Linked DNA regions of Macaca fascicularis. The protein of the gene in region 1 purifies or fractionates together with the protein of each later gene. This does not show direct contact. Links are inferred from orthologs where the notes say so. Each region holds a gene or a part of one and is shown in the gene's direction. Other genes may lie near its edges.

What was found. Proteins that work in one complex are often made in the same cells at the same time.
Region 2: the proteins of VAMP8 (region 1) and STX4 purify together in Homo sapiens (affinity purification with western blotting; 3 studies listed by BioGRID and IntAct, with this or other methods). This does not show direct contact. The link is inferred for Macaca fascicularis from reciprocal best matches to the Homo sapiens genes VAMP8 and STX4.

What each region holds. Positions count from the first base shown.
Region 1 is NC_088387.1:36,007,748-36,014,967, reverse strand, and holds the start of VAMP8 (vesicle-associated membrane protein 8), read left to right. Parts: upstream 1-3,197; 5' UTR 3,198-3,293; coding exon 3,294-3,296; intron 3,297-4,657; coding exon 4,658-4,816; intron 4,817-7,220. UniProt on the Homo sapiens protein: SNAREs, soluble N-ethylmaleimide-sensitive factor-attachment protein receptors, are essential proteins for fusion of cellular membranes.
Region 2 is NC_088394.1:29,212,883-29,219,936, forward strand, and holds the start of STX4 (syntaxin-4), read left to right. Parts: upstream 1-2,712; 5' UTR 2,713-2,970; coding exon 2,971-3,000; intron 3,001-3,177; coding exon 3,178-3,279; intron 3,280-3,368; coding exon of another isoform or gene 3,369-3,390; coding exon 3,391-3,490; intron 3,491-3,626; coding exon 3,627-3,701; intron 3,702-4,138; coding exon 4,139-4,209; intron 4,210-7,054. UniProt on the Homo sapiens protein: Plasma membrane t-SNARE that mediates docking of transport vesicles. Necessary for the translocation of SLC2A4 from intracellular vesicles to the plasma membrane.

The sequences.
Region 1 (7,220 bases):
TCTGTCACCCAGGCTGGAGTGCAGTGGCACTATCATAGCTCACTGCTGTCTCACACCCCTGGGCTCAAGTGATCCGTCTGTGCTAGCTCTCCAAGCAGCTAGGACTATGGACATGCACCACCATGCCTGGCTAATTTTATTTTATTATTTATTTATTTATTTATTTATTTATTTATTTATTTTGAGACAGAGTCTCACTCTTGTTGCCCAGGCTGGAGTGCAATGGTGCGATCTTGGCTCACCGCAACCTCTGCCTCCTGGGTTCAAGCAATTCTCCTTCCTCAGCCTCCGAGTAGCTAGGATTACAGGCATGCGCCACCATGCCTGGCTAATTTTGTATTTTTAGTAGAGACAGGGTTTCTCCATGTTGGTCGGGCTGGTCTTGAACTCCCGACCTCAGGTGATCTGCCCGTCTTGGCCTCCCAAAGTGCTGGGATTACAGGTGAGAGCCACCACGCCCAGCCAATTTTATTTTTTTATTTTACTTTATTTATTTTTATTTTTTACATCATCATTATTATTATTATTGTTTGAGACAGAGTCTCACTCTGTCACCCAGGCTGAATTGCAAGGGTGTAATCTCGGCTCACTGCAACCTCCGCTTCCAGGGTTCAAGCAATTCTCCTGCCTCAGCCTCCTGAGTAGCTGGGATTACAGGCATGCGCCACCATGCCCGGCAAATTTTGTATTTTTAGTAGAGATGGGGTTTCGACATGTTGATCAGGCTGGTCTCGAACTCCTGACCTCAGGTGATCCACTGCCTCAGCATCCCAATGTGCTGGGATTACAGGCGTGAGCCACTGCGTCCAGCAGTTTTATTTTTTTTATAGAGACAGGGTCTTGATATGTTGCCCGGGCTTATATATAATATTTGCTGAGCGTGGTGGTTTATGCCTATAATCCCAGCACTTTGGGAGGTTGAGGTGGGAGAATCGCTTGAGGTTTGGAGTTTGAGACCAGTTTGGGCAACACAACAAGACACTGTCTCCAAAAAAAAAAAAAAATTAGCTGGACATGGTAGCCCTTGCCTGTAGTCCCAGCTGACTGGGGAGGGTGAGGTGGGAAGATTGCTTGAGCCCACGAGTTCAAGACTGCAGTGAGCTTGAACACACTGTACTGCACTCTAACCTGGATGGCAGAGTGGGACCCTGCCTCTAAAAACAACAACAACAAAAAAGCTACAGGTGTCCAAAGTTTATTTAAAGCCTTTAAAAAGGTATTTGTGGCTGGGCGGGTGGCTCATGCCTGTAATCCCAGCACTTTGGGAGGCCGAGGCAGGTAGATCACCCGAGGTTAGGTGTTCGAGACCACCCTGGCTAACATGGTAAGACCCTGTCTCTACTAAAAATACAAAAAAAAATTAGCCATGCCTGGTGGCATGCACCTGTGGTCCCAGCTACTAGGGAGGCTGAAGCAGGAGAATCACTTGAACCTGGGAGGCAGAGGCTGCAGTGAGCTGAGATAGCGCCATTGCACTCCAGCCTGGGTGACAAGAGAGAAGCGTCTCAAAAAAAAAAAAAAAAAGTTTTGTGTCTGGATGTGGTGGCTCACACCTATGATCCCATCACTTTGGGAAGCCGAGGAGGGAGGATTACTTGAGAACAGGAGTTTGAGACCAGCCTGGGCAACATGGTAAGACCCCCATGTCTACGAAAAGTTTTAAAATAAATTAGCCAGACATGGTGGTTTGCACCTGTAGTTTCAGTTACTGGGGAGGCTGAGGCAGGATGATCGCTGTAGCCCCAGAGTTCAAGGCTGCAGTGTGCTACAATCATGCCACTGGACTCTAGCCTGGGTGACAGAAGGAGACCATCTCAAGAAAACAAAACAAAATAAACAAACAAAAAAAGTATTTGTTGGAAAAGTTGACATTTCCTCCTTGGAACTGATATCTTCTGGAATGGGTCAAGAATGTTCGTTCCCTTCTGAATGTCCCTGTTATTGTTCTTCTGTCTTGATAAACACTGTCAAGGAAGAACAGATTTTCTCCGGCCTGGAGCCAGGTTAGTGGAAAAGTCCTTTGCCTTGGGCCCCTGCTCTGGTACACCAGGGCAGTCTTCTGATCACTGATCACTGACTGGGATCAATTACCTCTCTGGTGGTCCCTGAAGGGAAATGCAGAATTGCTGAACTCTGGAAGGGAAGGAGGGGTTTGGTGAGCCATCATTACAGACACTGTGCTAGTGGCAGTGCACTGCACACGCTATCTTTTTTTTTTTTTTGAGACAGAGTCTTGCTCTTATTGCCCAGGCTGGAGTGCAATGGCATAGTCTTAGCTCACTGCAATCTCTGTCTCCCAGGTTCAAGCGATTCTCCCGCCTCAGCCTCCTGAGTAGCTGGGATTACAGGCACCTGCCACCATGCCTGGCTAATTATTTTGTATTTTTAGTAGAGACGGGGTTTTGCCATGTTGGCCAGGCTGGTCTCGAACTCCTGACCTCAAGTGATCTGCCTGCCTTGGCCTCCCAAAGTACTGGGATTACAGGCGTGAGCTACCATGCCCAGCCTCTTTTTGCTTCTTACCAGCACTGTCTGAGCTAAGCATCAGCACCTGCAAACTCCACAGAGGTGAAAAGGTTCACTCAGGGGCCTGTAACTAGTAACCCAGAGCTTTCTGAATCAGAGCCCAGGATCACAGTATTCCAGACTTCAGGGGTTTTAGTGCTTTCTGTCACTGAGGGACCTGAGAACAAGTGTTATCCAGCAAGAAATTTTCATAACTGCATTTTATTTCCCTGTGAGCCAGGCCTGGCATGGTTGATCTCTGTCTCTAGAAACTGGAGTCAGATATTCAAGACATTAAAAGGAGATGGCTGGTGGGGCGTCATGGCTCCTAGGACTTTGGGAGGTTGAGGTGGGAGGATTGTCTGAGCCCAGGAGTTTGAGACCAGCCTGGGCAACATGGTGAGACCTCATCTCTATTAAAAAAAAAAAAAAAAAGAAAGAGAGAGAGAGATGGCTGCCCTTTCTAGATCAGGAGGTCCAGCCTCAGGAAACCTTGGAGGGCTGCTTGATCTTTCTTTTCTAATTCCTGAAAAGTTAGAAGACCTTTAACATCTGAGAGCCCTATTACTCTAAGCTTAAGCTCTTGTTTGGGAAGCCACTGGGTGGACAGTGAAGAGTGCCCGCCTACCTGGGGAAACCTGAGTTAGGTGTGGCTGGAGCGACTCGAGATGCGAGGTGGGCGGGGGCAGGCTGAAAGCTGGAGCAAGCAGGAAGTGAGCTGACGGCCACCCTGGGAGGAAGCCGACTAGGCTAATTCACCTGCTGATCGGCCCGGGCTGCTCTGAGACATGGTGAGCGAACTGGAAACTAGGAAAGGGCTGATTTAAAGAGGAGCCAGAAGGGGCTCGGGACTGGGGGTTGGCTGTGGGGGGGGAGGAGAGTTGGCGGCAAAGTTAGAGGGCTGGGCCAGTGCTGCCTGTGGCCTCTCCTCTTTGACAACTTGGCTGCAAATAGCTCTGAACCGTCCTAGCAGGTGTTTCTATTCCTTCTTCCTCCCTCCCCTGACCTCTGTGCTGGTGGGGAGCTGGGCTTCCGTGCCAGTGCCAATGGGGGCTCCGAATTCCAGGCAAAGTGTTGTTGTGCCTTCCTCCTCCAGGGAGCCCGAGGCGGGTGTTGTGACACCACCAGGCAGTGCTTGGGCAGTTTCCAGTTCAGATTCCAGCCCAGCGGCAGGAGCTCTCCTCTCTGGCCTTTCACTTTATCCCTACACAGAAACACAAAGGATTTGTGTGTCCACTGAGTCCTTTGGGTGTCCTTTCTCCATTAACATGAAGAAGAGAACTAAGGGTTTATAAGATAACCAGAAGTTGGTTCTCTGTGATAAGCTAGTTCTGACCCATGCCACTGGCCTGTTTTTGGAGGTCAAGGAGGGAGGAGCTTAATAATGTTTTTCTCTCCTTGTTCAAAAACCTTGTCATGAAGTCTCTGAGATGAGACATCAGCCAGGGAGGACTAGTCCTCCATTTCCCCCAACACCCAGGCGGGTATTTTTATTTAATGTCTGCATAAGCAGGTGGTTGCTTGGTGCCTGTGCGTGGTGCCCAGTGGTAGGGAAAGCAGAAGTGTGTGGCTCAACGGCTGTGGGCGCCTTCTGGGGTACTTGGTTGCCTGTTGTTCTGGGTCACAGCAGCAATGGCATTGCGGCCAGGGCCATGCTCCAGCAGCTATTTAGAGGGGCAGATGGGTCAGGCTGGGTGAGGGTGTTTTGCTGGCCAGCACAGACACTTTCAATGAGGATCCCGAGAAATCAGGAAAGAGGGGTGGCTCCGGGAATTGTAAATAGTGGTGGGCTCTGCCCTGGAAAGGGAACATTGTGAGATGCCGGCTCTGCTGTATTCTATGGCCTTCTCTAGGGAGCAAGGAAGCAGTGGGGAGGGATTTAGTGATGCGCTGCTTTTCCTTGTCAGGGGTCCTAACAATCCTGAAAGAAGTTTGATCTAGTCTCTTTAGCATCACGTCTTACCTTCTGGGGCTTACAAATGCATTTATTTTTGATTACACAAGTAATACATGAAAACATTCTCTTTGTAAACATTTCAAGCATTTTACAAAAAGCTGAAGTCTGCCTGAGGCCTTACCCTCCCCAGGCCTCTGAGGCCAAGTCTCCAGTTCCCCCACCACTTGGTCTAATTAACCCCGTGTTGCTGTGCAGGAGGAAGCCAGTGAAGGTGGAGGAAATGATCGCGTGCGGAACCTGCAGAGTGAGGTGGAGGGAGTTAAGAATATTATGACCCAGAATGTGGAGCGGATCCTGGCCCGAGGGGAAAACTTGGAACATCTCCGCAACAAGACAGAGGATCTGGAAGCCACAGTGAGACAGGGAGCCCACTGGAGGCTGGAGGAAAAGAGGAAGGGAGGGAATTTCTTTTTGGTGGGGCAAAATGAACAGGAGGGTCAGAAGTGTAACATTTCTGTTGCCTTTCACCTGGTTTGGGAGCTGATGTGAGCTGAGTCTCCACTTCTGAATCTGCTCTGCTCCACAGATTGTTATGGATCCCAGGGAATGGATCCCATGACTGGGGCTTGAGGTGGCAGCTCACCCATAGAGGCATATTCTGAGACCGATAGCTCAGTCAGCCCATGCATTCTCAGGCTTCTCTCCCGGGAAACTTGTTTTCCCTTTGAAGCCTGCCCATGACAATCATTTGGATCTGACCTTCCCAGGGCAGAAGTATTGGCTTTGAGGAAACCCCCCCACCGTGGCCTCTAGCCTTCTCTAGGAGCTATTAGACAAGGGGTGGGAAATTGCTGGTATCTTGCTGAGTTGGCTTTAAAAAGAAGGAGGAAAGAGCAGAGAAATGCTTTGATCCCAGGGTCCCCTGCTAGATGAAGGCTAAAATAATATCTCCCACACATCTTGCTAGACCTCATTCTTCTCTCTCTCCAGCCAGGGGCTGCGGCCAGCTGTTTCAGGGAGGAAGTAACTCCAAAGTTGAGCAAAGTCTGGAGCCTCAGGTTTTGTGTCCAGCTGGGAAGCTGGCTCTGGCTTTCTTAGTCCTGTGTGAACTCTTGGCTCTTGGGTATTGCTCCCTTGTCTCCCTGGGGCTCATTGCCTGTTTCTGTAGCTTAATTGTAGCTTAATTTGGGGAGCACGGCCCCAGGATTTTTTTTTTTTTTTTTTTAATAGAGCCTCACTCTGTTGCCCAGGCTAGAGTGGTGCAATCTCGGCTCACTTCAACCTTCGCCTCCTGGGTTCAAATGATTCTCTTGCCTCAGCCTCCTGAGTAGCTGGGATTACAGTGTGCACCACCACACCTGGCTAATTTTTGTATTTTCAGTAGAGACGAAGTTTTGCCATGTTGGCTAGGCTGGTCTCGAACTCCTGACCTCAGGTGATCCACCCACCTTGGCCTCTCAAAGTGCTGGGATTACAGACTTGAGTCACCATGCCTGGACAAGCACTAGGAAATTTAGTGTCTATAACTCGAATTGCTGGGCATGGGGAAGAGTGCATGGAGGAGGAGGAGTTCCCTTACTTCCAACCCTCTGTACTGTCCTGGTCCCTCCTCCAGCCTCAGCAGTCCCGATGGGGCAAGGAGTCCTGTAGCTGGGAGATGTGCCCTCCTGGAGCCTGCATCCCTCAGTCCCAGGATCTGCCCTCCCAAGGGCAGATTGGGAGGGCAGATTGTGCTGCCAGTGTTGTACCCTTGGGTGTAAGCAGGTGTCAAGGACCCCTCAGTGTGCATGACAGTGCAGGGGTAAGAAGAGAAAGGGGACCCCTAGTCATATCTAGGTGGAGACCTCCTAGGATCCTGAGAATTCTAAATTTCAACCTGGCCTTTCAGATTTTTAGGAAGGTACATTTGTCAAGGTAGGCAAGATAGAGCAATTTTTTTTTTTTTTGAGATGGAGTCTTGCTCTGTTGCCCAGGCTGGAGTGCATTGGTGTGATCTTGGCTCACTGCAACCTCTGCCTCCCAGGTTCAAGTGATCCTCCTGCTTCAGCCTCCCAAGCGCCCACCACTATGCCTGGCTAATTTTTTTGTATTTTTAGTAGAGAGGGGGTTTCACAATGTTGGCCAGGCTGGTCATGAACTCCTGACCTCAGGAGATCCATCTGCCTCAGCCTCCCAAAGTGCTGGGATTATAGGTGTGAGCCACTGTGCCTGGCCAAAGCATATTTTATTTAGCAGTTTGCTACCTCAGCTTACAGTGTCACTATTAAGATGTATGGCTTGAGCTGGGCATGGTGGCATGTGCCTATAGTCCCAGCACTAGGGAGGCTGAAGTGGGAGGATTGCTTGAGCCCTGGAGATGGAGGCTACAGTAAGCCAAGATTGTGCCACTGCACTCCAGCCTGCACTGGGCGACAGAGCGAGACCCTGTCTCAAAAAACCAACAAACAAGGCCAGGCGCCGTGGCTCATGCCTGTAATCCCAGCACTTTGGGAGGCCAAAGCAGGTGGATCACCTGAGGTCAAGAGTTCAAGATCAGCCTGGCCAACATGGTGAAACCCCATCTCTACTAAAGATACAAAAATTAGCTGGACATGGTGGTGCACGCCTGTAATCCCAGCTACTCAGGAGGCTGAGGCAGGAGAATCGCTTGAACCCGGAAGGTGGAGGTTGCAGTGAACTGAGATTGCGCCACTGCATTCCAGCCTGGGCAGCAGAGTGAAACTCTGTCTCAAGAAAACAAACAAACAAACAAACAGATGTCTGGCTTGTAGGCCGGGCACAGTGGCTCACACCTGTAATCCCACCCCAGGAGGGCGGA
Region 2 (7,054 bases), on another chromosome or scaffold:
CACGGTGGCTCACACCTGTAATCTCAGCACTTTGGGAGGCCAAGGTGGGTGGATCGACTGAGCCCAGGGGTTTGAGACCAGCCTGGGCAACACGGCGAAACCCAGTCTCTACCAAAAAAATATACAAAAATTAGCCAGGCATGCTGGTGCATGCCTATAGTACCAGCTACTTGGGAGGCTGAGGCAGGAGGATTGACTGAATCTGACAGCACACCATTGCACTCCAGCCTGGGTGACAGAACCAGACTCAACCTCAAAAAAAAAAAAGAAAAAAGAAAAAAGAAAAAAAGCCCAGAGGGGAGGCTCGACAGTTTTCCAGCCCCTTCCACATCCTTCTTAACCTCACTAGATACTGTCCAAGTCCTACCTTAGGCAAGGCAGAAATTATAGGACCAAGCCGTCAAATGGGGAAATTGAGTCCCAGAGAGGAGTAATGCATTATTTAAGATCCCATGCAGGACTATGAGTCAGGGGTCCAAGAGCCCTTCCACCATGTGCCACTCAGAGACACAGAGTAGGAGGGGGAAGGGGGTCGGGTGGTAGGGGACAAAAGATGCGGGAGGCAAGCAGCAGTGACTGAAGAGGCAGAGGCTGCCATGGAAGACCCGGGAGCAGGGAATCTTTCCTCACCGTCTCCAGGGGAGGCTTCCTGAAAAACCCTGCATTCCCTCTGTGGGTTGATCAGGGAACCACTCTCCTACTAGCTGGGTTTTGTGTTTTGTTTTGTTTTGTTTTTTTGAGATGGAGTCTTACTCTGTCGCCTAGGCTGGAGTGCAATGGCGTGATCTCAGCTCACTGCAACCTCCGCCTCCCGGGTTCAAGCAATCCTCCTGTCTGAGCCTCCCAAGTAGCTGAGATTACAGGCACCTGCCATCATGCCTGGCTAATTTTTGTATGTTTGTAGAGATGGGGTTTCGCCATGTTGGCCAGGCTGGTCTCCAACTCCTGGCCTCAGGTGATCTGCCTGCCTCTGCCTCCCAAAGTGCTGGGACTGCAGGCATAGGCCACCGCACCCTGCTAGAGCTGGGTTTTAACAGGAAGAGAAGAGCCAAAAATCCTCACATAGAATCAGACAGCACTTGACAGTTTCCAACCTCATCATCACTGAAGTTTAGAGCAGCCCATACCCATAAAGATGATCTCCCCATCCCCCCAAGTTACCCACTGTGCAGAGGGAGATCGACACTTAAGAGACAGGAAGCAACTTCCAGAAGTCCATAGCAACCCAGTCCCAGGAATCTAGGTTTCCTGACCAGGGCATAGCAGAAAGGGTCCATTCCTTTCCTTGCTTGTACCTTCACAGAAGCTTCCTGGACAGAGCCCTGGGGTCCAGGAGACCCGTTATTCATTCCCAGCTATGCTGAGACTTACTAAATGACCTTGGGGACTCCTTCTAGAGAATTTAAGTTCCACGAGTGCAGGAATTTTTATCTATTAGTCCTTGATGTATCTCCAGCCCTAGAACAGTGTTTGGCCCATAGTATGTGCCCAAAAATATCCATTAAATGAATGTTCTGTGCATGGTGGTGCATGCCTGTAATCCCAGCAGTTTGGGAGGCTGAGGCAGGAGGATTGCTTGAGCCCAGGAGTTAGAGACCAGCTTGGACAACATAGTGAGACCCCATCTTGTAAAAATTTTTAAAAATAAAAAATGAGTGAATATCTCGATAGCCAGGATTAGAGAAGTGTCACAGTCAGAAAGACTGAAGCCTAAAGAAGGCCAAGGAACCAGGGTCTTCATCCTCAGATACATGAAAGGCTAAGATTCTGTCCACAAGTATTTATAGAGGGCCCGTAATGTGCTTGGTACTGAGCTAGGAACTCCCCAGATTCAGTTAAGAACAAAGTCATTACCTGCCTCAGATGCAAGGCAGGGTCTGGGGGGTGTGAGTGGCAGGGAAGGCAGCGTGCAGAGACACTTTTCTTAGCCTGAGCTGCCCTGACATGGTCTGACAGCCCACAAGGTGGTGAGTGCAGCCGGGCTGTAGTGTTCAAGGAGGGCGCCGGCTGGCTGCCCACCTGTCAGAGGCTGCGCCAGGAGGATGCGGAAGAAGAGGTTTCTGCCTTGGCTGAGGTCACTTTCCACCCCTAGATTCCCTGCCCACACAACCCTGCAATTTTCTGACGCTGACGACTCGGATCCTATTATTTCCCGATTTTCAAGGTCCCATGATGCTGACAGCCCCAAATGCTAAGTCGTCAGTCCGCCCACGCCCCTGGACCCGAAAGCAATAAAGGCGAAGTCAGCAAGGGTCCTACCACCCACTGCCTCGAAAGGCCTCTGGGAGTGGTGGGCGCGCCCCTCCCCACCTCGCGGGGGCCGTGTGGGCGTCGTTCGGTGGTCGGAGTGCCGGGGACGTCGTGATGAAAACAGCGTCCCAGAGACGGCGCTGACCGAGCCGGGACACGTGACAGTCACAGCGTCACATTCTGCGGTCCACGAGTTTGGGACCGGGTTGCTCACGTGACGCGGTGGGGGCACCATGGGGTGATATGAGATGCGGGTGCCTCAGATTACGTACAAATGACGTATTCCTACCCCTTTTGGCAACCAGATTTCCGTTGGAAGATGCAACGGTTCCGGTGACGGTAGCCAGTTCTCGCGTCCACGCAGCTCCGCTTCCGCTCGGGGCGCAATAACTTCCGACTCCACCTTCCGCGCCTCGGGCGAGGAAGAGACGCGACCATATGCGCATGCCCCGAATTTATCACGGAGGGGCGGGGCTGAGGCTGCGGGAGCTGGAGGGGGGAAGAAAAGGGAATTCCAACCTGTGGAACCTTGGGGGGTCCCCGGGGTCGGCGCCTTCCCATTGACTGTGGGCGGTGCAAGGGACGGAGGCTCTGGTGGCTCGTGGGGGTGTTGGGGTCCACAGGGGGAGGGAGGGGAGTGTCAGAGTGTGAGTGGGGTACGGGTATTCCAAGTTTGCCGGCCTCCCGGTCTGACGCCGGGGAGGGAGAGCTCAGGCCGCCATGCGGGACAGGACCCACGAGCTGAGGCAGGTGAGACGCCAGGGCAGCGGGGATGGGGGCGCGCGGACGAACTGGAACGCAGGACTCCTGGTCTTCGGGGTAGGGAGGGGTGGCTGATGGCCAGGAAGGAAAGTCCCGGAAGCCTGTGGGTCCTGCGGGGTGACAGCCGCAGCGAAACAGTGGTGCCAATGACTCCGGGCCTGGCAGGGGGATGACAGCTCGGACGAAGAGGACAAGGAGCGAGTCGCGCTGGTGGTGCACCCGGGCACGGCACGGCTGGGGAGCCCGGACGAGGAGTTCTTCCAGAAGGTAAGGGGATGGAGTCTTGGCCTGGATTCGCGAGGGGGTAGGAGGACCCGAGGAGCAGCGTGGTCTGGAGTACCCCATATCTCTTTCAGCCCTCTCGGTCACCCTCCCCAGGTCCGGACAATTCGGCAGACTATTGTCAAGCTGGGGAATAAAGTCCAGGAGTTGGAGAAACAGCAGGTCACCATCCTGGCCACGCCCCTTCCTGAGGAGAGTGAGTGAAACCCCGGCTGCATAGCGCATGCTCCGCCCCAGGGATTGTGGGGGTTGTAGTTCCACGCAGGTGGTGGCCAGGGTGGTTTGTTGAGGTGGGGGCTGCTGTTTGGGAGTCGTGGCCTTCTCTTATTCAGGCATGAAGCAGGAGCTGCAGAACCTGCGCGACGAGATCAAACAGCTGGGGAGGGAGATCCGCCTGCAGCTGAAGGGTGAGCTACTGGGACCTCAGGCAGATCCTTCCCTCTGATCCTGCCCTGTTGTTGGTATATCTGGGGAGTGTGTGGCCCAGAGAAGCCAGTGATATATCCAGGTCACACAGCAGGCCTGGTTCTAGCATCTCTGTCTTCTGGCCTCCAGGCCATTGTACTCTCCACAGCACAAGGCAGTCTCTCAGGTTCTTTTATTTACAATGAAACCATTTACTTACACAGTTATCACTGCCCACTGGGGCATTCTTTGGGCAGGGAGATGGGGTTTTGTTAGGTGGCCTCTGCATTCGTACGGGAACTCAAGTGATGTAATGCAAAGAAAAATAAACTTACTTTCTCCTCTTGGAGGCTCAGCCTTAGTCATTTTATGATAAATTATATTTCCCTAAAAATCCTATGGAGACAAGTACCCCCAATACCCCTGTGTCTTCCCACAGCCATAGAGCCCCAGAAGGAGGAAGCTGATGAGAACTATAACTCCATCAACACAAGAATGAGAAAAACCCAGGTGGGTTTTTTTTCTCAGAAATGACATTTCAGCAAATGTTTCATGAAGTAGTAGATGACAGATGTATGAAGGAAGGGCCTGTAGAGGTCATGGAGTCCAATTGGATGATTTTTCCAAGTGGGGAACCTGAGCTCAGAGAGAGAAAGAACTTGCTCAAGGTCAGGAAACCAGGTCTCCTGATGCTCAGTCCGGTTATAACACCCTGCTTTATTTTCTTCCATTCAATAAGAAGTTACTTATTGACCCCAGACAAGACCTAGGCTTGACTGTGGGACACGTTTTCTTTTCTTTTTGCCTCAGCCTCCTGAATAGCTGGGATTACAGGCGGACACCACCATGCCGAGTTAATTTTTGTATTTTTAGTAGAGACGGGGTTTCCCCATGTTGGCCAGGCTGGTCTCGAACTCCTGACCTCAGGTGACCCTCCTGCCTTGGCCTCCCAAAGTGCTGGAATTACAGGCGTGAGCCACTGCGCCCAGCTGGGACACGTGTTTTCTAGGAGTCAACATGAGGAGTTAGGGTTCAATAGGGGATAAAGACATTACTCACGTGGGATCTGGTGGCTAATGGCGCTGCCCAGGGAAGGAGAGTGAGAAGTCACAAATTGACTGGCAGGTTTGCTATCTGTGTGACAGGGACATCCTTAGTCCCACAGGTGGAATTCAAGAAGTCAGGAAGTGGAACTTCCCTGGGGCGACACTGAAGAGGAACTCCCCTGGTGTAATATCTTTTTTTAAAAAATTATTATTATTTTTTTGAGATGGAGTCTCTCTCTGTCGCCCAGGCTGGAGTACAGTGGCACAGTCTTGGCTGACTGCAACCTCCACCTCCTTCAAGCGATAATCCTCCCTCAGCCTCACAAGTAGCTGGGATTACAGGCGTACACCACCACACCTGGCTAGTTTTTTATATTTTTGGTAGAAATGAGGTTTCACCATGTTGGCCAGGCTGGTCTTGAACTCCTGACCTCAAGTCCTCAAGTGATCCACCTGCTTTGGCCTCCCAAAGTGCTATGATTACAGGCATGAGCCACCGTGCACGGCCCCTGGGGTGATATCTTAGTAAGGAGATTTGCAGTGATCTGACTGGCCCTCTTTGTGTCCCCAGTGAGGAGGATACCAAGAGGTCAGGGTTGGAGTAGTTGAGCCCAGGGCTCAGCAAGGACCCCAGATTGAAGATGAAACAGCTTGGGCATCTTGGAAGGGTGCAGCTGGAACCAGGAGAGCAGATGTATCTCTGGAAAAGGAACTCCAAGGAATGAGCATATTTAAGGTCTCAGGAGAAGGGGCAAGGCAGAGCAGATGCCCCAGAGCCAGTGTTTCTGGGGAAGCCTGTGGTGGTGATTGGCATGAGTGGTCGAGGGCCCATGTGGGCCTGTTGCACCTGTTTCGCCCAGGCAGCATGTTCATCTCTAGGCATAGGAACTGTGGTGTAGGCAGCAAGGTTGGCATTCAGCAAGCATTCAGCAGTTACATATTGGGTGCCTACTGTGTGCCAGACCTTTTTGGAACTGTTTAGGGTACAGCAGTGAATCAATGATCCCTATCCTCATGGAACTTCCCTTCTGGTGTAGACAATCACCGTAATAAATAAGTGAATTATTTAGAACATAATAAGCATTAAGGAAAAAAGAGCAGGGGAAGAGGGACTGAGCATGCTGGAGGAGGGTAGCGTTGCAGTTGAAAGCAAGTGGAGGAAGCTTCATTCAGAAGGTGACATCTGAACAAAAGACTTAAAGGTGTTTGCGGGGAATGGGCATTCTAGGTAGAATGAGAAGTGAATGCAAAGGTTTAAGCTGAGAGTGTGCTTTGTCTAGGGAGGGCTGTAAGGAGACCAATGTGGATGGGCAGAGGGAGGGAACAGTAAGAGGAAGCAAGATCAGAGAGGGCTGGCCGTGCACCTTGGCTCACACCTGTGATCCCAGCACTTTGGAGGCTGAGGTGGGAGGATTGGTTGAGCCCAGGCGTTTGAGACCAGCCTGGGCAACATTGCGAGACCCCATCTCTCTCTGTTTTTTTTTTTGAGACAAGGTCTCACTCTGTCACCCAGGCTGGAGTGCAGTGGTGCCATCTCTGCTCACTGCAGCCTCCGCCTCCTGAGTTCAAGCCATTCTCCTGCTTCAGCCTCCCAAGTAGCTGGGACTACAGGCACCCACCACTGCACCCAGTTAATTTTTGTATTTTTAGTAGAGATGGGGTTTCACCATGTTGGCCAGGCTGGTCTTGAACTCCGACCTCAGGTGATCTGCCTACCTCAGCCTCCCAAAGTGCTGAGATTACAAGCATGAGCCACCGTGCGGGTCAACCCTGTCTCTATTAAAAATAAAAATAGGCCAGGTGCAGTGGCTCACACTTGTAATCCCAGCACTTTGGGAGGCTGAGGTGGGTGGATCACCTGAGGTCAAGAGATTGAGACCATCCTGGCCAACATGGTGAAACCCCATCTCTACTAAAAATACAAAAATTAACCATGCATGGTGATGTTCATCTGTAGTCCCAGCTACTTGGGAGGCTGAGGCAAGAGAATCGCTTGAACCCAGGAGGCCAAGGTTGTGGTGAACCAAGATTGCGCCACTGCACTCCAGCCTGGGCAATAAGAACGAAACTCTGTCTCAAAAAATAAATAATAAATAAATAAAAATAAAAAAGATCATGGAGGGCCACATAGACTTGCTAAGGGCTTTGGCTTTTTGTCTAAGAGAAATGGGGGAGCCTGTCAAGGTCATCACAAAGTGGTTAAGGTGGCAGACCCCGCGTAAGAGCTCATGCTATTTGCTCACTTTACTATGGGATTGCCGAGGCCCAGACCGGGCAAGGATCCTCCCAGGGCACCCAGCCTATATTCT